2 linked regions of the Kluyveromyces lactis genome follow. The protein of the gene in region 1 interacts with the protein of each later gene in a biochemical or structural test. Links are inferred from orthologs where the notes say so. Each region holds a gene or a part of one and is shown on either strand. Other genes may lie near its edges. The genes, in order: KLLA0_A02189g and UBC9.

The links.
Region 2: the proteins of KLLA0_A02189g (region 1) and UBC9 form a complex in vitro, tested with the Saccharomyces cerevisiae proteins (11 studies listed by BioGRID, with this or other methods). The link is inferred for Kluyveromyces lactis from reciprocal best matches to the Saccharomyces cerevisiae genes SIZ1 and UBC9.

The regions. Positions count from the first base shown.
Region 1 is NC_006037.1:185,112-198,763, reverse strand, and holds KLLA0_A02189g (Siz/PIAS RING finger protein), read left to right. Parts: upstream 1-1,915; coding exon 1,916-4,264; downstream 4,265-13,652. Other genes in the region: ADE8 (phosphoribosylglycinamide formyltransferase), read right to left, coding at 254-901; STE14 (protein-S-isoprenylcysteine carboxyl O-methyltransferase), read right to left, coding at 4,395-5,141; VPS71 (Vps71p), read right to left, coding at 5,522-6,271; carnitine O-acetyltransferase CAT2, read right to left, coding at 6,599-8,632; DFM1 (Dfm1p), read right to left, coding at 9,245-10,093; rRNA-processing protein RRP17, read left to right, coding at 10,612-11,343; ERD1 (Erd1p), read right to left, coding at 11,390-12,544. UniProt on the Saccharomyces cerevisiae protein: Acts as an E3 ligase mediating SUMO/Smt3 attachment to septins and PCNA. May be involved in chromosome maintenance.
Region 2 is NC_006041.1:433,811-445,569, forward strand, and holds UBC9 (E2 SUMO-conjugating protein UBC9), read left to right. Parts: upstream 1-9,635; coding exon 9,636-10,109; downstream 10,110-11,759. Other genes in the region: GTPase-activating protein SEC23, read right to left, coding at 1-1,770; GPI-anchor transamidase subunit GAB1, read left to right, coding at 2,411-3,589; mRNA splicing protein SMX3, read left to right, coding at 3,909-3,911, 4,023-4,358; ATP10 (Atp10p), read right to left, coding at 5,741-6,592; CCW14 (Ccw14p), read right to left, coding at 7,079-7,825; PEX19 (Pex19p), read right to left, coding at 8,389-9,291; SYO1 (Syo1p), read right to left, coding at 10,452-11,759. UniProt on the Saccharomyces cerevisiae protein: E2 ubiquitin-like--protein ligase mediating SUMO/Smt3 attachment to septins and PCNA. Seems to be involved in degradation of S- (CLB5) and M-phase cyclins (CLB2).

The sequences.
Region 1 (13,652 bases):
TATTCCCGAAGGATTCTAAAATAATATGTAAGAAAGAATTCAAAGGGCTATTTTCGCAAACAGAATTCCAGGCAACGATTTGGTTTATTTACAATGTATATCTATATAATTGCAGTTAATTGAGAAAGCTGTTACACTACTTCTTGTTATTACTAAGTATATACACTTACATTCTTATACAGCTTACCTTAAAAGATGCCTTAAGAGGATGCAACTGCGAAAGCGATCCTAATGGAATAGAACTATAACTGAATCAAATCAATTTGTTTGATTCCTTTAAAGCTATGATTGTGGCTTCAACAATTGCGACATGTTCCGCAGCGTGAACCCTTGTTCCGTACTCTTCCAAGGATTCCTTACCTGGAACAATTTCTAGTTCTTTTATTACCAATGATTCGCCCCTATCTACTTCTTCAATGACATAATGTACCATACACCCTGCAATTAGTGGTCTCTTCTGCTCTTGACACTTATTCCACGCCATTTCAATCGCATGGGTGGTCCCATCGAAAGCACCAGGAAGAGCAGGATGCAAGTTAATGATCGGTAATCCGTTCAATCTCTTTAAAAAGGTAGGACCCAAAATTAATAACCACCCTGCGCATACAACCAAATCTGGAGAATCCTTCAGTATCAGATCTGCGAGGTCCGCTTCAAACTTATTTCTTGCCTCAGCACGACCCTTTTTGTCATCCTTCGACAAGTCCTTTGTGTATGAATACAAAGACTGTACAATGGTAGGAATTCCATTATCACTGGATCTTGTTAAACCATATGCTTTCTTACTACTTGAAATGACCCTACAGATATCTATAGGCAATTTGCCTTCTTTCTTAGCATCAATTAACGCCTGTAGATTCGAACCTGAACCTGAAATTAGCACAACAACTTTTGGTGCCATTTAGATCTTGATATTTAACGTAAAAAGAGTCGCAGAATGTGAGTAGTACCGAAAGGAATGTTCTATACGATAATACTTAGTCTGATCAACCACATCAATATAAAAACATCTATTTTGAGAGGTGACTTAAGAGCTTTTTCATAGTGATGTTTAGTATATGATAATAGCATCGATGGGAAATTAGTATCGTTAATGTAAGGTTCACTATTTCAAAGTATTATGTGGTGTAAGGATGTGTTCAAGTCAATGGGCAGACCTGCAGTCCAGTAACTATGGCTAAGATTTAACTACCAGCTAAATGCACATATAGCTCCCGGAAAGTAACAAATTAAAAATATACAACTCAGTTCTTTCAGAACTCATACTTGCTGCTAGCCGGCTTAATCTTCTTAACTTTGCTGATATCTCGGCGGATCAGTTGAAGAGATGATGCTTTGATCACGTGACCATAATTTAATATCTTTAGTATCATAGCTAATTTTACCCATTGGTACCAGCAGCAATCGCCTTCCATACTATCAGGACTTCACATGCTTTCAGCCCATTTACGAATCCCTTCACAGAAAGTTTGGCGACCATGATACTATCCATCTTTTGCTTTATTTAGTATTAATGTCCGTTCTGAAAGAAAATATGTAACTCAACTCGATATAACAATGAATCGATTTGATATGAAAAATAATTAACAAATCTACACATATTTATGAACTTCACATCCTCGGTCTAGGTAAGCTCGGCTTTATCTACTGGAAGGTACTGTTGCTAGTATTGCTGTCAGTTTTTGAGAGCTTTAAGTCCCTATTTGCCAATATTTCGGGCTCTCAGTTCGCCTCTTTTGTCATCGGAGACAATCACAAAGGGCTTCTACAATTAGTTCCTGAGAGCTAAGTAATTCTCTATCGGTATTTTGTGATATATTGGCGCAACTGGGCATTATTTCATTCCTGGCAACTAACAATTTGAGAGAGCAGTTCGTTATTTCTGGTATTTTAGGTGGAAACACGCCATATAACCATGCAGCATTTATTGGACGATACTTCAATAGACTCTGTCAAACAGGAGATCATGCTGCTTAAAGTAGCAGAGCTAAAGAATGTTTGTCGTTCTATAGGTCTGCCGATAAGTGGGCGGAAGACGGAGTTACAAGATAGACTATCTTCGTTTTTAATGGCTCCAAGTAGGGCTGGCATGAATGATCCGTTCAGAATTCCAGCAGTTAACATTTTAGTCAAAAAGGCCGGTGCTGGTGATCCAGTACCGAAGTTTGAAACATTATTGCATGCGCTTGCTACAGGCTCATTCATGCATCCTGTTGCAACCGGTCACCAGGATGCTTCCGCTCTAATAGGTAACAACAGACTTGCTGGTAAACCTCACCTGCGATTTCAGCAAAGTCCATTTTACAACTTGAAGAGACTGGTAGGCTCCGAATCTGCTCCTGAGGCCCCAAGCAAGCGAGGAGTTGCTAACATCTCTTTTAAACTAGTAGAAGAGGAGATGAAACTACTCAAAAGTAGTCCTAAAATTAAACTCTATGTGTTTTGCGGAATAAACAATTCTTTTGGAGCTAGTAATGACATACCTATTCAGTTTCCTCTGAGGAATGAGATTAAATTTAACGGAATACAAATAAAAGACAATGTTCACGGTTTGAAGAACAAGATAGGAACTGCGAAACCCGCTGATCTAACGCCGTACATTAATTGGCCACCAAAATCAAATCTTTTGCAGCTAGTTTATGCATTTACGAAAGACGACCATATGGTGTATGTCTATTTGGTCGAACTAATAGAAACAGAGGAATTGTTACAGAAGACATTAAGTAGCCCTAAAATTGTTAGGCCTGCAACGCTACAGTACATCAAACAGACTCTTTCTGAAGAAGAAGATGAAGATATGATGACTACGTCAACAGTTATGTCTTTACAGTGTCCGATTTCGTATTCTAGGATGAAGTACCCTGTAAAATCCATCCACTGTCGCCATTTACAGTGTTTTGACGCTCAGTGGTTTATTGAATCACAGAGACAAATTCCTACATGGCAATGTCCAGTCTGCCAAAAGCAAATTCGTATAGAAGATTTGGCAATATGTGAATTTGTGCAAGAGATCATCAGTTCTACCGACGAAGAGGTTGAGCAGGTTGAAATTAGTAAAGACGGTAGTTGGGTAATCAAAGATGAAACAGAAAATCACAACCAGGAAGCTAGTACTGCACCTAATATTAAACAAGAGGCCACACCTGATATAAAGCCTGAAGATTCACATGCTGTAGAGCAGCATGACGAACATCCTCCACCGGAACATGTAATAATTTCCTTAGACAGTGATGAAGAAGACGAAATAGAACAAGCGACATCTAAAACCAATCCACCAAACCGGCAGTCTACTTCACAAAATTCCGATAACACTTCAAGTAGTACCGATTTAAACCAAGATAACGATTTATTGGATGATGAAGATATGGCGTTCATCGAAGAACTTGCCAATTCAATCATTGATCGAGTACCCAGGAGATCGCAGCATGAAAACAATGTCACAAGCACATCGAATCTGAATGTCAATGGACTCATTGACCCTAATACTAGAAATGAGGTACCAGAACGAAGAACGAGTTTGGATCCTAGAATGAATGATTATGATCTGCTGAATTTAGCCGCAGAACAACCCACAAATTTTCGTCAAATGAGAGGAAGACTGTTATCAGAGAATAACCAAGAGAACTCGCGACCCCCAGTACCTAATCTTTTGGGTAAGGCTCCTCTTAACACGGATTCACATAAGGTTGGACCACAACTCCCTAACATGTCTCAACTCACAAACGCAGATTCAATGTTATTCAATGGAAATGGACAAGCTCACCCTCAAGCACCTTCCGGTTCCTTTTCTGATAGCAATTCTCGGATCGTTGTTCAACCAATGGGAAGTTCTCCGCGTGGCCAAACAAGCGATAAAGTCACACAGGTATCCATACAGCCCACAGAACCTCCTTCCATGGGAGTTCCTGTACTACCACCTCTACCAACTTTGCCAGTGAGATCAACTACTTCTACGATGTCACCGAATTTACCTCAACCACCGCCTATCCATGATCCTAGAAGAAGGAAGCCAGAGGTATCACCGTTTTTACCCAAGAAGAATTTTAAGAATGTTCTACCGAAGAAAAGAGCACACTCCAACGGCAACGCACAAAATGTGCATTCAGAAATCAACGGGAACCATGACTCTGGAACCTTACCAGCACCTTCACCCATATCCAATGTGCAGGTATCGCCTTCCCCGGCTATAATGAATTCAAATAATGTACCGCCTCCTAATGACTCTCTTAATTCTGACGATTTGATCGACTTGACCTCCGATTAACATTCTACAAGGATTACGTTAAGTTTTAGTATGAACTGCATAAAGTATATACATAAAACTTCATAAATCATTCATATACAATATTGTATTTTTACTGTTACAACTACCAAACCGAAAAGAAATGGCTATTCTATTTGATGAAGGGAATACCAACTCCTACAGTTTCCCTGTACGTTATGTACTGATTCCCGAAAAACTGCACGAGGTATCTTTCTTCGAATGCAATTCTACTATTGAAGAATTTCCATAAAACGACAATAAAAATGACCAATGAAACTGGATTTAACAGCATTAGCTGCGAGCCAACAGACCACCAAAAGAATCCAAAGTAACTGGGATGCCTACTCTTTGAATATATGCCGGACGTGACAAGAGTGTGGTCAGAGTTCTTTGTTACCTTCACAACATGTGAGAATGATTGCCCCGCTGTGATCATTGCAGATGATCTAACATACTGTCCAAGGAGTAGCAATACAACTCCTACGGTAACAATAAATTCGTTGTAAAAGGAATAGGTTGTAGATTTGAACGACGGGAATAGAAGGCGTTCTATGATTGTCTCTATCAGTGCAACCGAATGGGCCAAAAAGTACCCGACACCGTTGTTTATCAAAAAGGAGTTTGTATTCAATTTCCCAGGATTGTATTTGGCAGTAATCCAAAACTCTAACAGATGAAATATGGATAGTGAGATCATGTATATGTTGAAGTTCCAAAAAGGAGACAGGCATAATGTAATAAGGGATACACCAAAAATCACTCCTAGCATAAATGCCGTTAAAGATATCTCGTCCAATTCGTTCTTTTGTATATTAGGAAATGTTTTCCCATCAATAATCACAAGAACATCCTCACTTTCATCATCTCTGCTCGACATAACTTCCGCACCTCTCAATCCACGCCAATACCTTCACTGATTTCAACTAGAATAGCTCAGAATAAAAACCAAAAACCAGCGTGAAGGATTCTTCAAGGTCTGATATATTAATGGAATATGATGCGTACTGCTAAATACCAACAGCAAGGAGTTCAAATAGTGTCTTGTTCGATAACAAATAGTTAAGTTAAAGTCTTCTCTTTCATCGGTATTAAAATTGTTTAAAGTGAAAGAATGAAAAAAAAAAGATAATGGCCTCGATTTTATACTATAATCAGTATTTACAAAGACATCAACATGAAGCAACAAACACGGGATCATGAGCAGTGTTTTGAGGTTCAAAGAGAGTAGCTGTTAAGTTTTTTCAGCTAGCAGCAAACTCAGTTGTTACATCTTGTTTCACTGTGTAATTCATAACAGCGAAGACTGCATATCTTGTCATTGCAAACAACGCAGTTAGATATACTGGAGTAACCACCACACATAGAGCAGGTGACGATCATTGGTAAGACCCTGAAAAACTTCTTGTTTTGAACGTTACTATAAATGAGTGTGTGGTTCACTTGGTCTAAAGTTTCTAGATAGGAGTGTAAAGACCTTCTGCTTGAAAGTACTTTCCTTAGTGCTGATATTCTGTTGGAACTTTTCTTTGATTTCCGAGGCGGCTTGCTTGATTTATACAATAAATTCATAGACTTGGGCAAATCGAACTTGGCCATCCTCTGTCTGGATGAACCTGAGCCTGATTGTTGCTCAGATAATATACCGGTGCTTGTTTGATCGATCTTATCTTTGTTCAGCCCCGTGATGTTACTGAGAAGAGTTGTAACTTCACGAAGATCTTGATAGTTTTCTGTGTCAAGTTCCATGAACCGCTTATTAGATCGTAACAAATCAGGCAAGGCATGCTTATCAGATCCTGTCAGTTGATTTATGTCGTCTTTATCGCTTCCCTTGGGCTGATTATATATCTTTGCCTCCAAATCAGCCAATGAATAATTGACTCTCTTGTTTCTTGCTGAGGTTTGAGACTGTTTCGAGACCCTTGCACTTTGATGAGTTTGGTTCAAACTGCTGAAATAAATGTTAGGATTATACGTCCTCACATTGATTTCTTCTACCGACCTCATATTGACACTCTTCGCACGCTTCTTCCTTCTTTTATCCAGTGATAAAGTGTCTTCCTCGGTATACTCACTATGATAAGGTCGATTTTAAATTTCTTTGCCATATTCTCATTTGATATATAATATGGTAGATATGCGAACAACAGTAACTGAAGGGAGAGAAAAGATGTCAATCATTGGGTAAGATAGGCCGTTAACGTATGGTTGATGATGGTACCAATTGTTGCCAGTGCATCCTTGTTCAGTAATTCATAATAGATCATAAAGTGGTTAGAATATCATATATAATGGACTCGTACTAAAACAATATAAACTGGTGCCTGTGCTATATCATAGTTTGGCCTTGGCAGAGTTGTGTAGAGACAAAGTTTCATACATTTCATCTGCCGCCTTAGTTAAATAATAGTGTAGTTCGTCAACACTAAATCCAGAAGCTTCTGGTTTGTTGGTGATATTAATGTGCAAAAATTCGTTATTGATCATATAGGCTAAGCCAAATCCATTATCGTATACTTGAGACCAACCGTAACATTCAAAGTTTTCAGAGGATAATTGTGAAGTTGAAATCAACCAAGTAGAACTGTATTTGAACAATGCGTCTTGGAACAAAGGTACTGGCTCATCAGATTCATGAACCATGTTTTTCAACCCAAAGAAATGGCGATCAACGGCTTCACCGTTAGAGGCCATCTTCAAATATTCAACATGATCCTTGGCAGCATCGTAGAAAGCAGCAATTTTCTCTTCAGTAGTAGAAGTAGGTGATTCCCATGTTTTAACGAACTTGGAAGAGGATTCAGTGACCGGTCTACCAGTTTCAGTTCTACCTTGGAAAAACGCTCTGGTAGAAGCAGCTTCGTACGTTGGTAGTTGTTTCTTCAAATACTTGAAAACAGCAAGTTGAATCACCTGTTGAATGTAAGCATCTGGTGACACTTTAAATGTTTTCACAATTCTCTTACCATACCTATTATAGTGCCAAACGCGTAAATCTTCACGTTCCACTGTTGTTATAAATTGCAATTTTGCACTCTCGATAGTATTTCTCAAGGTTGGTGTAATTATAAATGGTAGATGTTCACTGTTCACAGAAGGGTAAGCTGATACGTTGGAATGTAAGGACTCGACGAACGCTGAAGGATTCAATTTTGTTAATTGATCCACGACGTAATGGTTTAAAAACAAAGTTGGAGTACCATCCATTTTCGAATGTTCTGCCAAGAAACCGGAGAAACCGTTACCAGTAACAAAAAATTGCAAAGGCTTGTCAAAGAATCTATTGGTTCCGTCTCCGTGCCAGCACACTCTAGACTTATCTTCCAAAGTTATTGGAGCAGTGTCCTGATCCAAACATAAGACGAATGAGGATTTGTGGATGGTTTCTAAAGAGGAGGAAGATACTGGTTCTAATTGCAATTGTTGATAAGCGCCAGCCCATTCATCACGAGGAAGAGTTGTCAATGCACCGATTCCAGCGTTTGCATTGATCAAAGAACCCTGTGAACCCAAATGGTTGACAATTTGATTCAACTGTTGGTAGATTACTGCGTTGGACAAGACTGCCCCAGCTTTATCGTGTGTATAAACTTTGAAAAAATTATCCTTGTAGGCAACCGTCAAGTAGCCATGTTCATAGATCGAGTAAAAATGGTTCGTATCGATATTGAATTGAGGAACCCTTGAATTATTGAACATATATTGGAATCCGTTCATACAGAAAGGTTTGCCCTTCACCACTTCTGCTGGCAAGGCTTCATCTTTCAAGGATTCCACGAACTTCACCACACTAGAAATAATCGCCGTGGCCTTAACAAGCATGTCGCCATCGATGGCACGGTGACTAGTTGGTAAAGGCTTATGACCATAAAAATATGACACAAAAGGAACCACAGGTGACCTATCGCCAAGATAAATCTGACTATCCCATAGTTCTTGCATCCAGTTTCTCCGCTCCTGAGAATAACTCAACAACCGCTCCTGCAAAGCAGGGCCTTGGTCTGAAAGAAATGAGTAACATAACTGGATCTGTTTCTCATATTCAGCATCCGTCTGACAAAACGGTTTAATAGACTTCAAATATTTGTCCAAAGTCGATTTCAACTCCGGAATCGGTAAGGATGGCATATCCTGTTGTTTTGAGTAAGTGGCTCCTTTGAACCCAGGTCTCTTCTCCTGATAATACGAATTAGGTCTTTCTGCAATATACTCATCGTTAGTCCCGGTCTCAAAAGGGAACTTCTGATACCCCGAATACTGCATCTTACCAGACATCTGTCTCAATATAGAACTTTTCTTGTTACCTTGACCCATGCGTCTCATCCCCATACTAATACCAGCACTGCTTCTAAATGCCATACTTCTCATCGTCACTGTTGGTGTTGGTATTCACAACGGGTATTTAACTAATAAATAAAATAAATATCACAACAATTGAAACCTTTTATTCTATATCGTGTTCCGCTTTCTTGAGGATGATTTTGGTTGTTTAAACCGGCAAGGAAACCATTTTCGGAACAAACCTATTAAAAGCGAAAGGTGTCCTTAACTTCTGAAATGCAGCTATATATATACTAAATAATACTAGCTCATTTGTACATGGTTTTATTCATAAAAGGCTGAAACTCGAGAAATCCGAATTGCTGATCATTCATTACACAAGAGCCCATTCCGTTATATACGTCCGAACCGAGTGATCATCAACGAACCTGTACCAGTAACTCTCTGCAATCCTGTACCCAAGACGTGCTTCACCTCCACTCTTGGTCCCTGTGGTCATTCGTTTGCTCCAACACTTTTTGATCATCAACTATTTTCTCGCCATAACGGGCTTTTAGGCAGAACCATCATACAAAATCAATTTTCCATTGTCGACATATTTCCATTAAACCTGGGGTAAATAAAATAACACAAATGATATATACACAAGGGAGATGTAGATAATATAGATAACAGTATGTCGGATTATTAGTACCTTAATCAGTCTATTTTGGTCCCTAATCTATTTCCAGTTCCAGCGAAAGTGCTTTTCTTTAACGGGGTTCTCAACCTTCTTCTGGTCACGGGGTCTGTCCTGTTTGATGACGAAACGGGTTTGGAGGTGATGGATAGGACACGTCCTATCCATAGAATGATCGAGGAGAACCATCTTGGTGATCTGAAATGACCTCTTCCAGAGAATCCGTACGCTGGGTCCTTCCCCATCAGATAACCGTACAAGGGACCGTAAGTCCATGTGTCTAGGCAGGAGTAAACGTATCCAGCACAAAACCCGACCATTGTGACGCAAAACCTGCTGTAACCATCGGTCCCGTCATCAAATAAGAACGAAACGAAAAGATGCACTAGCGATAGATATTTACCCAAGATTGGGAATAATCCGTAGAACATTACCTTCACGTTGCTGTTGTCCAGAGTCCACGTATATAGGATCATTCCTATGAATGCGTTAGTGAACACTGGGTATGAGATCTGGCATGCTTCTACGAGCACGACGATCAATGCAAAGTTGAAACATATGTAAAACAAATAATCGATGGATTTGTTGCTGAAGTGCACTAATTCGAGATGTAACGATTTCGAGTATACTGCGTATAGGTCGAAACATGCTTTCATGGCATCGTTTGGTAAGATGAGGAAACTAGTGAACAACCTCCAGATTTGGAACTTGAACAATACACCACGTAAAGACCATTTGAAATCGCTGAAATAGTACGGTAATACGTTCAAGCGTTGGATCAAACATATTAACACCATTAAGAGACATATTCCTCGGGTCACCGGTGGAATTTGTCCTACAAACTGTATCAATTCGTTACGCATAGTCATGGCTGCTATGAATAATCACGCGTATCGTATATCCCACTGATGTTACTGAATGGTACCTCCGGTGTCTATCTTGACAGCGCATCTGTATAGTGAGTATAAATATCTTTCTTTCACTGCAACTTGGAACTGAAATTTCATAGAACCCGAAAATTAAAGCTATGGGAAAGACATAGATAGGAAAGCACAGAATGACAGAAATTGAATAGTTAAGTAATGATCCTCTACACAGGTATACGCCTAGATTTGTTTTCTACTTAGTGCATGGCAGAGCATATGAATTGGTCTAGATAAATTAGGTCAGGACGGCTAGATTGCCCTTATGCAATCATGTTATAGTTATCTATGTATTTCTTTCTGTATCTCGAAGTTTCAATATTTGGAAAAAGCATTAAAACGGAAAAACTTGCTGATGCGATGAGCTGAAGAAAGCAGATAGGCTTTTCACTTACTGAGGTGGTGCTGAGACCGGTTCAAGTTCTGCAGAAGATACAGAGTAGCAGTGTGGATATAGAGTGAAAATGGTGGCAAAGAGTAATCGTGAGATTCTTACCGGTGGTAAATCTTACAAGCAGAAAGCTGCTAAGAAATTCGGTGCTGATGAGGTAAAGTTCGATAAGGACTCACGGTTGGAATACTTAACTGGGTTCCATAAGAGAAAGCTTGATAGACAAAAGAAAGCCAAGGAGTTCATCCAAGAGCAAGAGAGAAAAGCTAGGCTCGAGGAAAGGGCCAAGATCAGAGCAGATAAAAAAAAGGCTCTTGAGAAACAGCTTGAAGATTTTAAACAGGCGATGAAAGATGTCGGTGATTATGTCGGTGTAGAGGACGACGACGAAGAAGCCGAAAATGGGAAACAGGGAAGCGATGAAGAGGCTGAAGAATGGACGGGATTTTCCGATGATAACGGAGATGCAACTGAAGAAGAAGAAGAGGATTCTGACTCTGTTAGTGTGAAACCGATCTTAAAGAAATATGTACAGACTTACTTAGATGATACTACGGTAGACATCGAACCCTTAGAGCCCAATGACAATTTTGAGTACCTTGCGGAATTAAATAATGTGAAGTTAGAGAAATCGGAACAAATTTTAGATCAAAGCATCGAACGTGCGAAGAAATATGCAAAGTTTTTGGGAGTTGAAGAAAAATCTGGTAATAAGAGTAAAAAGAATAAGAAGTTCAGATACTTGACCAAGAACGAGAGAAGACAAAATCAAAGAAAGGCCAACAATAATAAACGTAGGAAGTAATTAACCTTTTTTTTTTATTTATTATCTTCCTCTCTTTCTAAACATCTCATTCATCCATTTTCCCCCCCTCTGTTGTTGCAATGTATTCTACCTCGACTTTAAAGAATAACCAAATCCATCTTCTGATTATCTCTAAAATTTGTAACCAAAAGATGTTTAATTCCCCATAAAATACAGAGTGCCCACTGATATACTCCCAGAACCATACGAATCTCAAAATAAAATCGAGCGCCATAGCGCTATAATACCACGCATTTTTCCGGTACAACAAAATGCTTCTTAAAAGACCGTCCGCTTTGTTACTACTATTATTGTTATTGACACTAGTGTCCCCATTCACAAAATCGAACAGCTCTAGTTTCCAATCCATGGTCACATCCCACCAGAATGAATACGCGGAATTCCAAAACATGAACCAATACATCATTCCAAGTGGGCCCAGGTTGTAATATCTTGTATAGACTGTAACTAGCATGATAGGAATATTACCAGCATACTTAAAAGCATTGAACAATTGTGAACCATCTTTCTTCTGAGACCTTCCTCTTGTAAATTCTCTTAACGATTGAATCATTCTGACCAATGAGGGCAAGACTCCAACAAGTACGTCAATGTTTAACGATATAGCATTTTCATATCTTTCCACTTGACACTTGACGTTTGTTGGATCATGGAAAAGGAAAGTGGCATAAATAGCTAAATCCACCAATGGCTTAGAGTACGAGGTCAAAGTATCACTAATTATAATATAGTTATTCCTATACGGCTTTGGTTCAATGTCAGCTACCCAAAGTATTCTTTTAAAGCACCTTGCGACCATTGCTGATGACCTTAATATCATTGCAAATATGTAAAACAACTCCAGTAGTGGTGAAACATTCAAAAAAAACCAAAGCAATTTGTTGGATACGTTATTAGTGAAGGAGTATTGGAATAAGATTATACATACCAATTGCCACGGTATAATGACTCTAGAGATTGACTTGAACAGTTTCAGGCTTGATTGGTGTATTTTCGTGGATGTGTTAAAGTAAGGTAGTCCCGTGGACTCATTGGATACAATTACTTTGGACACGTCGTAGTAGGATACTGATACCTTCAGGAACCATGTCCATAGCCATAACCCTAATAACACAAGGACAACAACTCTCTGTGGGATCGGTAGGTAAACCAGAAAGGGTTCAACAGATTCGGCGTCCATGAATGCACGTATAAATAAGGAATCAAAAAAATGTAACAAAAAAAGGAGGAATAGAAGCAGAAGAAATCCCTTTCAGAAAGGCCCTGTGTGTATCGCTAACGGTTTAGATTTGTGGTTCACTGTCTCAGAGCTCTGTATAATCTAGGATCCTACGTTTTTAGTCCTAAGATAACACTTTTATTTCTATTGACATCTTTTCAAGACGTGTTTACAATTCAGATACCGGCACCAAAAATAAAAAAACACACACTACCGAAAAGCACAAGTTACAAGTACAAGAATGGAACAGCTAATGCTATATATAAACGTATTCAGGACTGTTAGAGATAACAAAAAGCGTGTTTCTAATCCTTTAAAATTTTGAATTTTATTCATGATTAGCATGGAAACTTTTAGTTCATCATTAATAGGTCTATATATTTAAGATAGAGAATGCCGAGTAATCCACTGACACATCTAACGTACACTTCGACTACCCGAATATATCCGGAAATGAAGAAAGTCAAACAAACAAGAAGATATAACTTGTACTGTATTGCCTGGACAGTTTATTTTAATAAAGTAATCGATTGATCAGAATTTTCAGTGTTTGGCTAATGCTAGTCGAATCGTTCATATTTTCGAAATCCGTTTGGGGCGACAGCGGTCATCATAATCGATATACTCAAAAAAAAAACAATCCAAATGATGGTATTTCCATACAGACAGTCATTATCTTCGTCGTTCCTTTTACTTGTTCATTTCCCGACATGAAGAGGAATTTGATTTCCGTTTGAGTTCAGTAAAAAAGACAGAATACGTTGCGAACAGGAACTCCTGTTCCTGATACACTACAAATCGAATCCTTGTTGGTTATGTCTCTAACTCTAATTAAAAGCTTTGTAACGGATAATAAAGTATTCGTGATGAGATAGAAACTTACCTCAAAATTTTTCACTTTTCCAGTTATTTAAACTAAAAACCATAAAACAGAAAGAATAGTCAATCTAACCATGAGAGACTGGTCTGCCATTAGGGCACAAAATAAGTACACAAAGATTTCCTGAATCACGTGACCAAATATTATATAATCCGGGTAAATTCAGAATACGTTCATAGTGATACTTCT
Region 2 (11,759 bases), on another chromosome or scaffold:
AACAGACAAAAACTGAGATCTTCTCAAATAATATGTGAATTGTGGATACAATGAAAATTGAGGAGATAATCTGAATGATGATGGATCATTCTTATTGTAGTCAGCGTATTTTTGACACAATTTAATCAAAGTTCTGTCAATCCATCTAATGACATCAGCGCCATCATCAGATTCTGCCTTGTCAACAGCAATTCTTGCCATTAGAACGGCAGCAGCCTCCTGATCAAAGGAGGATGCAATGGCTGGATTTCCAAAGGACAACATTTGGTTAGCAACAGTGGTGACCCTGACACGGTTTGTACCGGAGGAATGTTCATACGATGTAATGAATTGGGTGTAAGCTAACTTAGGCCTATCTGTCATTACTTCAGCAGATGCACCCGGGTTGACAATTTCAAAGAACACAGCGTAAGTGTGGCGTGGCGATAAAGATGACATCTTCCAAGAAGAAGTACCACCAATACCTATCTCAGAATCACTGACATTGGAGGCCTCGGTCTTAGTCTTCACAGCAGAGGCGTGGCCAATTAAACCTTGTAATTTTAGATCGCTACTTGTCTTAACAGACAAGGTACCCTTGAATGCCATTTGCAAATAACCTTCTTCATCCTTAGAAAAGAATCTTAGATATGACTGTTTAAAAATAGCGGTGGAGAACGCATCAGTCAATAACAAGACACCACCAGTGGAATCTGTTAGTCTCTTCATTTCGGACATACCAACTTGATCATAACAACCAGCAAAAATATCGACTGTATGACCATTGTCAGCGACTTTTTGAGCCAATTGGTTGTAGAATTTACAGGCCTTCTTGTAATGTTTTGCAGAATCAGAATCAATATCGTGATGAGATCTCAATGGGTCTTTTAATTCCGGGGAAACGACAAGACCTGGGCCCACGGTGCCAGGACCGGAGGAGAACAAGATTATTCTAGCAGCAACGTTCTTGTAACAACCTTCCAACACCAACGATGCAATGTTCAAAGCAGAACCAGTCGCTCTTAAAGGTCTGAAACCAGATTTCACATCCCATTGATCAGGCTTCAGGTTTTCCAACAATTGGGTCAACTTGAATTCAACTTGTTCCAATGGTAAGAAGAACCTGTTCAAAGAGAAAGGTGTAACCTTGGTTGGAGCATTGATATTAACGGCTTGTGCAGCATTTAATTTTTCACCGGTTAGCATTTCAACTAATTGAGCCAATTGGTATTCACGATCACCTCTGAACACATTACATTTATCAATAGAAGCTGATGATAAGTCGTGCAGTTGAATCACATTATCGTAAGTGATTAGACCAACTAATGCATTTGCAGGAAGCAAGGACAATGAAGTGATAATTGATTCCTTCAAAGCTTGGAGGTTTTCCTCTTCTGCAGTAGTATCCACAATAAAGAAGAAAATTGGTGGAACTTGGACAGGAACACTGGTGATATATTCAACTGTAGTATTAGTCAATTCCAGTGGTAAAGTTTCCTGCGTCATATTGGCATAATGTTGAGGAAGAATGTTTCTTGTCTTACAAATAGGACAAGTCCAGGTATTGGATCTAACATCGATCTCACAGTAAGGATTTAACACAGATTTACAGTTGATGTTACCACATACCACAGGATTATAGCCAGCAACAGCAAGATCTTCACGTTCCTTCAAAGGAGTGTATAAACATCCAACTGGAACCACATTCTTATTAGCGTCAGTTCTTGACGCTGGAAACACGTTCCATGAGAAACGAACACCGTTAATATCTTCGTTTTGTTCGAAATCCATGGTGCTAAATCTCTTGATTCCAATCTATAAGCAGTTGGAAAAGAATGTATAAATCTTCTATGTGGTTCAAACAGATCAAATCCCTAGCACTCACCTTAGCCTGAGCAATTGGACTTTTACAGGCTACTCTGGTTCTCTTTTTGTTGTGTTGATAAATCCTGTGTATTGCTAGATATTTTTTTCATCAAAACATTTCTTTCAAGGTCAGAAAATGCCAAATAATGCAAAACAAAAAATGACCCACTAAGGAAAGGCTTGAACTCAGATCTCTGTGCCTCAGTGCTGTAAGATTATCGGTTAAACACAGTATTGTTGTGACTAAACCTGACATTCGACTGCAGGTTGCAAAATTCTGCTGTTTTAGAAGCGAGTATCTTAATCACGTGATATGTAAACACGTATTAGAGTAAACTGTTCACGTGTCCGGGTAATGTTTGTGTGGATCACTTTTTGTATTACCATTGATTTAACTGATGTACTTCATTTCAATACAATAAGCTTTCAAATATGCATAATTTGTACTGCAATTACGAAGCTCGGTTCACGATTGGTTTGTTTTTTTGCATTGAACGGTGATACGATTCTGAGAGGATACGAAGTGACCCTACTGTGTTGACTTGTTGTGTCGCTTGAGGTGATTATGGTTTCGTCCGAATGGCAGGTTGTATGGGCTTGTTTTGCGTCCAGATTGGCTGTTTCGTACCTGTTCCCTTCTTTGCAGCAGCAATTGGACAGAACCGTTGAGTTTTCTACTCCGGTTACAAGCTATAGATCTCTGCAAGAAGGTGCGTATCTTTTACTGCATAATTTGCCCATTTATGATGGTGGTGTTGTGCATCATGTGCCTCTGCTGGTAGCTTTAATGGCATTCGTTCAACAAGCGGAGTTTCTAATGCCCGTTTTGTTTGCGGCCATGGACACTCTAATAGCGTATCAATTGATGCAAATAGCTAAGATATATCAACGCCAATTGCAAATTCCTAGTTATATTCCAGGTGTGGTTTATGCAGTGAACCCTTTGGTACTTTTATCATGTGTCTCACAATCGACATGTCTATTTGTGAACCTTTCCATTTCTACTTCTTTACTATTTGCGTTATCTAGACAGTTCTCACTGTCAGCCATATGCATTGCGTTGGCTGGTTATTTATCACCTTACGCTTATCTACTGTTGATCCCATTGGCAGGAATCTGTGGATCAAATTCTTTCGGCCTTGTTGTCAAGTGTACATTGGTATCGATTGTTTTGCAGTTGATCAGTTTCAAGTTAAATAACGATAACTGGAACTATTTGACTTCAACATACTGGATATTGATTACTTTCAGTAAGATAAGGCCAAATCTAGGGTTGTGGTGGTATTTCTTTATTGAAATGTTCGAATTTTTCATCCCATTTTTCAAATCTGTGTTCAACATATTTGTTGTTTCATTTATCCCACCTTTCACTATTAGATTCAATCAGCAATCGTTTTACGCATTTGTTCTATGTCTAGGTTGGATTACGCTCACCAAATCATACCCAACGTTAGGTGACGGAGGGTTTTTCTTAAGTTTTATCCCATTTTTCAAACCGATCTTTGGGTATCTAAGATATCCAGTCATATCAACCCTTTTATTCATTCATGCCATCATTTTGTCACCAATCTTCTACTACCTATGGATTGGATTAGGCTCCGGTAATAGTAACTTTTTCTATGCCATTTCTTTGGTTTATGCGTTAGCCATCTCGTCAGTGATTGTGGATTTGACGTGGGCCATGTTAAGAATTGAATACGATTCAGGTAAACCAAACCTTTCATTAAAACTGACTCAAATTTGAATGAACCCTGTTCCTTCTGTTGGAAGAAACATATCGTATTGTCATTATTTAATATATATCTAAGTATGACTTACCCAGTGCATGGCATAAAAACTTTTGAAAACTGTCCGGACTACTTTGGTTTGTTTTATTTGTTCCCTTGGTAGGGCATCTAATATTTCCATGCCATATTGAAAAACATGAAAATACAGTATTGCAAAAAGATAGACAACGAAAACATTACGTAGCAACCAACAGACGTAATAAAACCTTTAACAGATTCTCGAATTATATCGTGTAATCGATACATATCAGAACACCCGCGCATTAACGTATTGAAATGGTAAGTTTTCTTGTTCCATACTTTTTTGGTCGCAGCTAGGACGATTATGTCCATCTGCGATCGATGAATCCACAGATTTTGTCACCTTACTAACCAATTTAAACGTTGCAGGATCCAGAGGAATTCAAACCAATTAACCCTAAACCCTTTTTACATCAATTGATAGACAAAGATGTGCTGGTGACACTCAAATTCAATAAAATACAATATAAAGGAAGACTTGTATCGGTAGATACATATTTCAATCTACAACTAACAGATGCGGAAGAGATCATAAATGATGTCTCAAGTGGGAAAGTTGGGGACATTTTCATCAGATGTAATAACGTGCTATACGTAGGAGAGGATGTGAACAAGCAAAGTGATCAACCCCCTACGCCGACTGGAACAACAGAGAAATCTGACGATAAAGAGGAAAATGGAGAACTCGCAGAAGAAGCGAATTAATATAGCACTAGTCTGAATATTATTGAAGCAAACAAGGAAACATCGGAATAATTATGGATTCACTGTATAGCTTTCCTCAGTTGTAATAGAATTAGGGAACTGCTTATCTTAATAAAGGGAATATTAGTATTAGTATAATTAATGATAGTATAGTTTATGTAGGTTTTACAATTCAAAGGCTCATTCTAAAAAAATCTCTAGAGATTAATACCTTATGTTTTTCATTCCAAGAAGGTCTCGTTCACGGTGTAACAGCTGTTCCAGCCACCATGGATTTCTTATTGCTTACTAGTTTTCCAGTTGAGTTGGGGTAGTGATTTCCAAAAAAAATGCAAAAATGAAACGGACAGGAATTGAACCTGCAACCCTTCGATTGCAATTTTGTTTCCATAGAAATTTCCAGGATTTAACTGGAGTCGAAAGCTCTACCATTGAGCCACCGCTTCATTCTTAAGGTTTTTATCTATAACATCTTCTATATGAAATGGAGTGGCAGCATTCCTTATTTATAATAGTCACTTTAGGCCAGAGTATATTGCTAAGGTGAACCTGGAGCATTTCAACTGAATTAGGTGTCGTCGGTACCAGTGTTTTTTAACAGAATTGAATTACGCTTCCCAGGATAATATAATTTTAGTTTCTTGTATGCAATGATCAGTATAAAATGCACATATTATTTAAGATTCGATGACGACTGCCAGCAAGTTGGCCTCGTCACTGCAATAAAATATAATCATAAAGTAATAGCGAAATGAGGATTACCCTTTATATCACAATATATGTGCCCGTCTTGCGGTAAAACCGATATCTTTGGCTCAAAGTTAAATACTTTTGTGAGATTCTATTACCGAATAGATCATGACCTGAATTCAGTCATCGAAATGAAAGCAGTGATGGTGTTCATTTACAAATTACCTCTGTAGCTTTCTTTGGTACATGCTTCTGCTCTTGCTTTTCTAACAGTTCCCATGCCCAGTAAAGGATGTAATAGGTGCCTACACTAAATAGTACCATCTTGCTGACTGGTTTTCCCCAGACCCTGTAGATTCTTGCATGTGGAGAAACTGGCTTTGGCTGAGCTTGTTGAAATAAAGCTTTGGTGAAGTGCATGTTGGTATTTTAAGGCAATAAACTGCAGCGGTTGCGCTTCTTCCTTGTCCTGCACAATTAAGTGCCCGAAGACACTGAGGTTCTGAAAAGCATTTAGCTTTTTTCAAAGTACCTTTTGTTCAAAATTCCATACTAAATTTGTTCTACCAGTGAAGAGATCGTCATATCGTCATATCTTGTAAGATGAAAACACTGGGTAACACTGAGGTTTAATCTTTTATTTTGTAGTATACACTGATTTATTTACATGAGTTGACTTCTTTCCTTCTCCTCTATTCGCTTCGAACAGCTTTTACACATTTCCAAAGTAGATTGAAATCTTTCTGTGTAGCTTCACCACATGCTGCCCATCTAATCTTGAGGTTTTCATCCACAACGAAAACATAACCGGAATATAGATTATTAATTTGAAGTTGCTCCCTAATTTGGAATGGTAATTGGTCTCTATTGCTAATAAATGTCTTGTCATGGCGGTGAGGTGGAACAATTGATGCGTATCTATTCTTGACCAATTTGACGACCATAGTTTTTAACCAATTTTCAGCTAAATTGATCTCCACTATTTGAGCACTCTTCAGCCCATCTTGCACTTTTAAAAGGCTTTCATCATTCTTAAGGTAGTCCAGATTATGCTTGTTGTCGATAAAATATGAGTTTATCAGATTTTTACCGACGTCGGTAGTGAACAACCTTATAATAGAGACTTTGCCCTTTAAGGTATCTTCAACGTTACATTCTTTATTATCTGATAGCCGTTGTCCGACTACATGAGGGAAATATAATGATTTGTCAGCCTTCCAGTAAGATGGAGGTGAGATGAATATCTTCCCGTTAGTCTTCTTCAACACATACAAATCGTGGAAACCAGATTTTCTAAACTCAACTTCCAACTCTTCAGCCCGCTTGCCAGTCTTTTCACTATTGAATAAATCCAGGAAACTGTTACCGTACTTGTATTCCTTGGTATTAAAAGGTGGTTTCTCCAAGCCAATTGGCTTCTTCAACTCTTCGATCTTAATATCACGAGGAGCAGAGTTTAAGATGTTATTGTTCAATCTACGGAACAAACCGTAACTGATTGAAGAAGTACTGAGACATCTTTTAGAGCCAAATATTGGTAGCATGCTTGACAACCGAGGATTATTTGTGTGAAGCCACAATGTAGTATCCTTCTTTCATTACTCTGACGTTCTTTGCTGAAACTATTACGCTATAATGTTCTTTTTTTTTAATACTCACTGATCTGATCTATTCGATACCGTGAATTGGAAGAACTACGGAGATAAGCGATGAAAAGTAGTAGTACTGTGAATGAACATATTACTGATATTCAAGAGCAGTAAATTATACTGTTAAAGGTTCCTATTTAAAGTTTTTTTAAATAAGTATAAAGATAAGTAAAAGAATTGAAAAGTATATTTTAATAAATGGTATCGAAGAAAGCTTTTTGAATAGAAAAATCAGTGTGAAATGGTCCGAACTGGTGTCCATTAAAAGAACGTATGAACGTATTGGATTTCTTTGTCAGACAATACTATGGCCACTTTTCTGTTTAGATTTTGTTATAGTAATTTGTAACTAGAATTAATTGATTTGCAAAGGTTGCTAGTTCACAACAATAGACCTGCTACAGCCAAACCACCGAAAACAGCGTTTCCTAACGACAAAGCATTAGCACCATCGGAGGAGATAGTGGCAATGGTGGTTGGAGTGCTAGTTGGTTCTGCGGAAGTTGAGGTTGCCAAGGTAGAAGTTGGGGCAGCAGTGGTTTCAGACACAATTGAACTTGAAGTTGTTGGTTCTGCGGACGAGGTTGGTTCTTCGGAAGTGGATGGCTCTTCAGAAGTGGATGGTTCAGCAGAAGAAGATGGTTCAGCAGAAGAAGATGGTTCGGCAGAAGAAGATGGTTCAGCAGAAGAAGTAGTTGGTTCCTCAGAGGTGGATGAAGAAGAGGAAGATGAACTAGATGGAGTAGAGGAAGATGAAGATGTTGAAGATGATGGAGTGGAAGAAGATGAGGATGAGGATGAGGATGAGGATGAGGATGAAGAGGAGGAGGAGGATGAAGAGGATGAGGTCACATCATCATCCAATGTAACACCTTGAGCCTTACAGGTAGATTCCAATGCGTCTTGAGCAGCATCAGCCTCACCGTCTGGACAGATAGACTTCAAACAAGAGGTCAAATCAGAACCGTCTGACTTACACATACAAGCAATGTCTTGCATGCCATCGCAGTCAGATTTCTTGTTGACTTGAGCAACACATGCCAATAAACAAGCTGGTGGAGTAGCAACAACCTCGGTAGATAAAACAGCAAGAGAAAAAGCAGCACCTAGAGCAGTAGAGAAACGCATAACGAATGGACAGTTCAGTTGATAGTATAACCTTGGTCTTGAATGGACTAAAACAATCCTCTTTCACTATGAAACAAACTTCGTCCAAAATTTTAACATGGTTTAAGAAGGTAGATCAACTCTTTCATATTCAATTTTCTTTTATTTTGGTTTTTCCATGCTCGAACATAGGACTGTGACAAAAATAGAATACGAACATTCCTCAATTTATTTTGTAAATATGCGAACATATGCATGTAAGAACAAACATGCTGTGTTAAAGAATGGCTAAAAGAAAGGGTGCTCTTTGAGAGGGAAGTGTCTAATGGGAGATACTCAGAAGAGTGCACTGTCCCGTATACCTTATGGCAAAAAGTTGTCACATATATTCAATCTTGCATAGTATATTGGTTATTATTGGTTTAGAGCTAGTCTCGTGATTTCAGTCCTCAATATGAATTTCAAAGTCGAAAAGAGAAAAATAGCCATATTATTCGAATATCATACTAATAGGCAAAGAGTGAAAGAAATAGAATAATAGTTTATTATGATTAAATATTATATTATGAGCTCATATACACATTTTATTGCTGTTTGCAGGTATCTTCAAGGTCTTTGTCGATGTTACCTAGATTTTCATCTCCTTGTATTTCCAGCATCTTGGCTAATTCTGACATATCGTTTCCAGGATCGTTACTAGTTCCCTTTGCAACCGGTGAGTCACCGAGTTGCTCTAGTTCATCCAATAGATCTGCGATCTCAGCATGGTACTTTTCATTCGTATAATCATCGCTTTCGAATACACCGATGATCTGATTCACAAGTGCATACTGTTTCTTGTAGTTATCAATCTTGTCGCTGTGTTCGGGGTCTTCTTCGTGTAATCCCATCCACTCGGTGAATTCTCCCTGCATTTGTTTCATCGGCTGATATAGCACTTCTTTAGAAGACATTTGTGAAAGCATTTTCAAAATGGCATTGTCCATTCCTTCTCCGTCCGTACCGTTGCCATCGCCGTTTTCCACTAGTTGATCTAGCAATTGGGAAAGAATATCGTCTGAGTTCTGATTTTTCTTCTCTTCCTCCAAACTTTCATCCACTTTCGTAGAATTTTCTTTCAATCTATCTAGGGTGTTGGAAATGATATTCTTGAAACCAGTACCGCTCTTCAATTGCTCCTGAACGTGTTTTACACTGTTATGGTCTTTCTCCTTCGATGCATCTCCAAGTACAGTTAGCAATGTCTCGAAATTCTGAACCATTTCTTGGTCAGTATCACCGCCTTCCTGCTGCATCAATTGTTGGAACTGTTTCTGCAAATCTTCCATCATCTCGACTACTTCTGGATCATCGCTCTGCGTAGCAGGCTCACCCTTAGTAACTGCCTCATTTGGAACAGTTTCTTGTTTTTCCTGTTCATCCAGTTTGCGTGGATCCTCTAAATAGTCATCCAAATCATCAAATTCGTCAACTTTGTTGTCTGACATCGTTTGTCGAAGTATCTGATTACTATCCGTTGAAATTTTGGTGGTGCGTAGCCCTTACTATTAATTATACCTCAGTTAAGGTTTCTTTAGTCACTGTCAATTCTGAAAAATATCACTTTTTCTTCAAAACACTATTGATGCTTTTTCTACAATATCAAAATCATCTTCAAAATCACAAACAAAAAGACGTATCGCACGGAATATCATATCCTCCAATTATTCAACAACGGTAAATCTGAGTTAAGGCTCTATTTACAACAGGGCGCAACGTACCTTAATATATTTACGGTATCTGTATATTAAAGCGACTCGACGATCAGAACGGCCGAATAATATAAACAGTCATGAGTAGTCTTTGTCTACAGAGGTTACAAGAGGAGAGAAAGAAGTGGAGAAAAGATCATCCTTATGGGTTCTTTGCCAAACCAACTAAAAAGACAGATGGATCTATGAACTTGCAGAAATGGGAGGCTGGTATCCCTGGAAGAGACGGCACTCTCTGGAAAAATGGTCTTTATCCTTTGACCATTGAATATCCTGATGACTATCCGTCAAAACCTCCTAAAGTGAAATTTCCAGCAGGATTTTATCACCCTAATGTTTATCCCAGTGGAACCATTTGCTTATCAATCTTGAACGAAGATCAGGACTGGAGACCTGCTATCACCTTGAAACAACTCTTACTTGGTGTACAGGATCTTTTGGATTCTCCGAACCCTAACTCACCTGCGCAAGAGCCAGCTTGGAGAGCTTTCTCGAAAAACATTAAGGAATATGAGAGGAAAGTCTCAGAACAAGCTCTTAGGTATACCAAGTGATACCTCCATAATACAACTTCGGAAGTAAACCATTTACTGACAGAGAAAATGCAAATACGCAGATGACGGCAGATATCAACTTGCGGGAAACCCTGGGCCTTCCCCAGCGTAAAGCGCAAATCAAATAAATTTGCTGTATTCTATGGCTCGATTTATTCTACGGTGTTGACCATTGTTATATGGCTGTATAGAGATATATCATAGGATGGAACGATCCAGTAGGTGTATAGTTCTCGTGTAAAATTTAAAATTAATATCAAGAATAATGCTAATGAATACTTGATTTATTCAATTATTTTGTATTTTACTATTATCAGGTGTAGACTGTATATATTTATTGTTTTATTTGTTACGTTCATTTTGTTTGTATGCAATAAAACTATCCAATGTAGAAAAGCAATCCTGACATCTTTCTTTCAGTTGAGGATCTTTGTTCTTGTCAACAAACTTGAAAACATTCTTCAAATTTAATGAAACCTGTGTTTGAAGTATCGAAAGATAGTTCAAGTTTACAAATACTGGTTCATCGTAATCAAAGTTCATGTCTGAGTATATTTCAAAGAATGTGTTCATAAAATCTACTACTACTGGTGCTTTTGTTTCCTTGCTTGAAAGTGTATTGATAAAAAAGTCACCTATGGCTTTGTTTAGTTCAATTTGGTTTTGGAAACCAGCTAGAGTACCTAGTACACCGCAACAACGTTGTTGCAACTCCACACCTTCTTCAGGATTCAAACTTTTTCCCTCGTTGAAGACGTTAATTATGGAATCAATGAACTGTTGATTGTTTATTTGAACTACTCGGAAGAAATCACCAGAACCAGAGGTGCCAAAAACGGCTTGAACATTCTTCAACAATGCCCAGGTTACACTTAGTTTCCCGATTTTAATACCGAAATCCTTATCTTCAGAACCATTCTGCATAGCTGACCAGAGGTGCTCCCAGTAATTGCCCAACTCAAAAAAGCTAATCCCGACAGATAGGTAAAGCCATAGAAGATTGTTCCATCCAATCAATACTCTTGAAGTGAAATCAGTGTATAATGCAGAAAATACAGAAGGAACATTTTGAGTAAGGACAGGTAATAATGAACCATTAAGAGGTTTATGGCTTTCTTCGTATTTAGCACCGATCAATTCAATAGCTGCAGCGATCACATCAAGACTGATTTCTATACTTTGAAATTTGATCATGGCTTCGGTCCTTTTCTTAGTGTAGTCTTTAATCTTTTTTGTTATTTCTTCATTACTTTCTTTCATCAATTCAGAATCCTCGGTCTTGTTCGATAAAGTCGATTTTACCTCAGCTAAATTAATGTGTTCTACGGATTGTAGTACCTTGGTTATTATTGATGCTGCGATGTCATAACTTATGTCTGTATCCATGAATTGTAAGTAGATACCTTGTATTAGTACCTTAGTTAACTCGTTATCGTTGGCAAACTCCCAATTAATTATATTCTCGACAAATGGCGAGAGAAATTCATGTGCAGAAACTTTATCGATGAATTCAGAAGAATCACTAGATATGTCATAAATAAGGTCCAAGACAGTGTTGAATAACTGTGTAGTTGTTTTCAAAGTCACGGTATTATCAGAAATTACCATACCGTAACTCAAAATATTAGTCATAACAGCGAACACTTTATC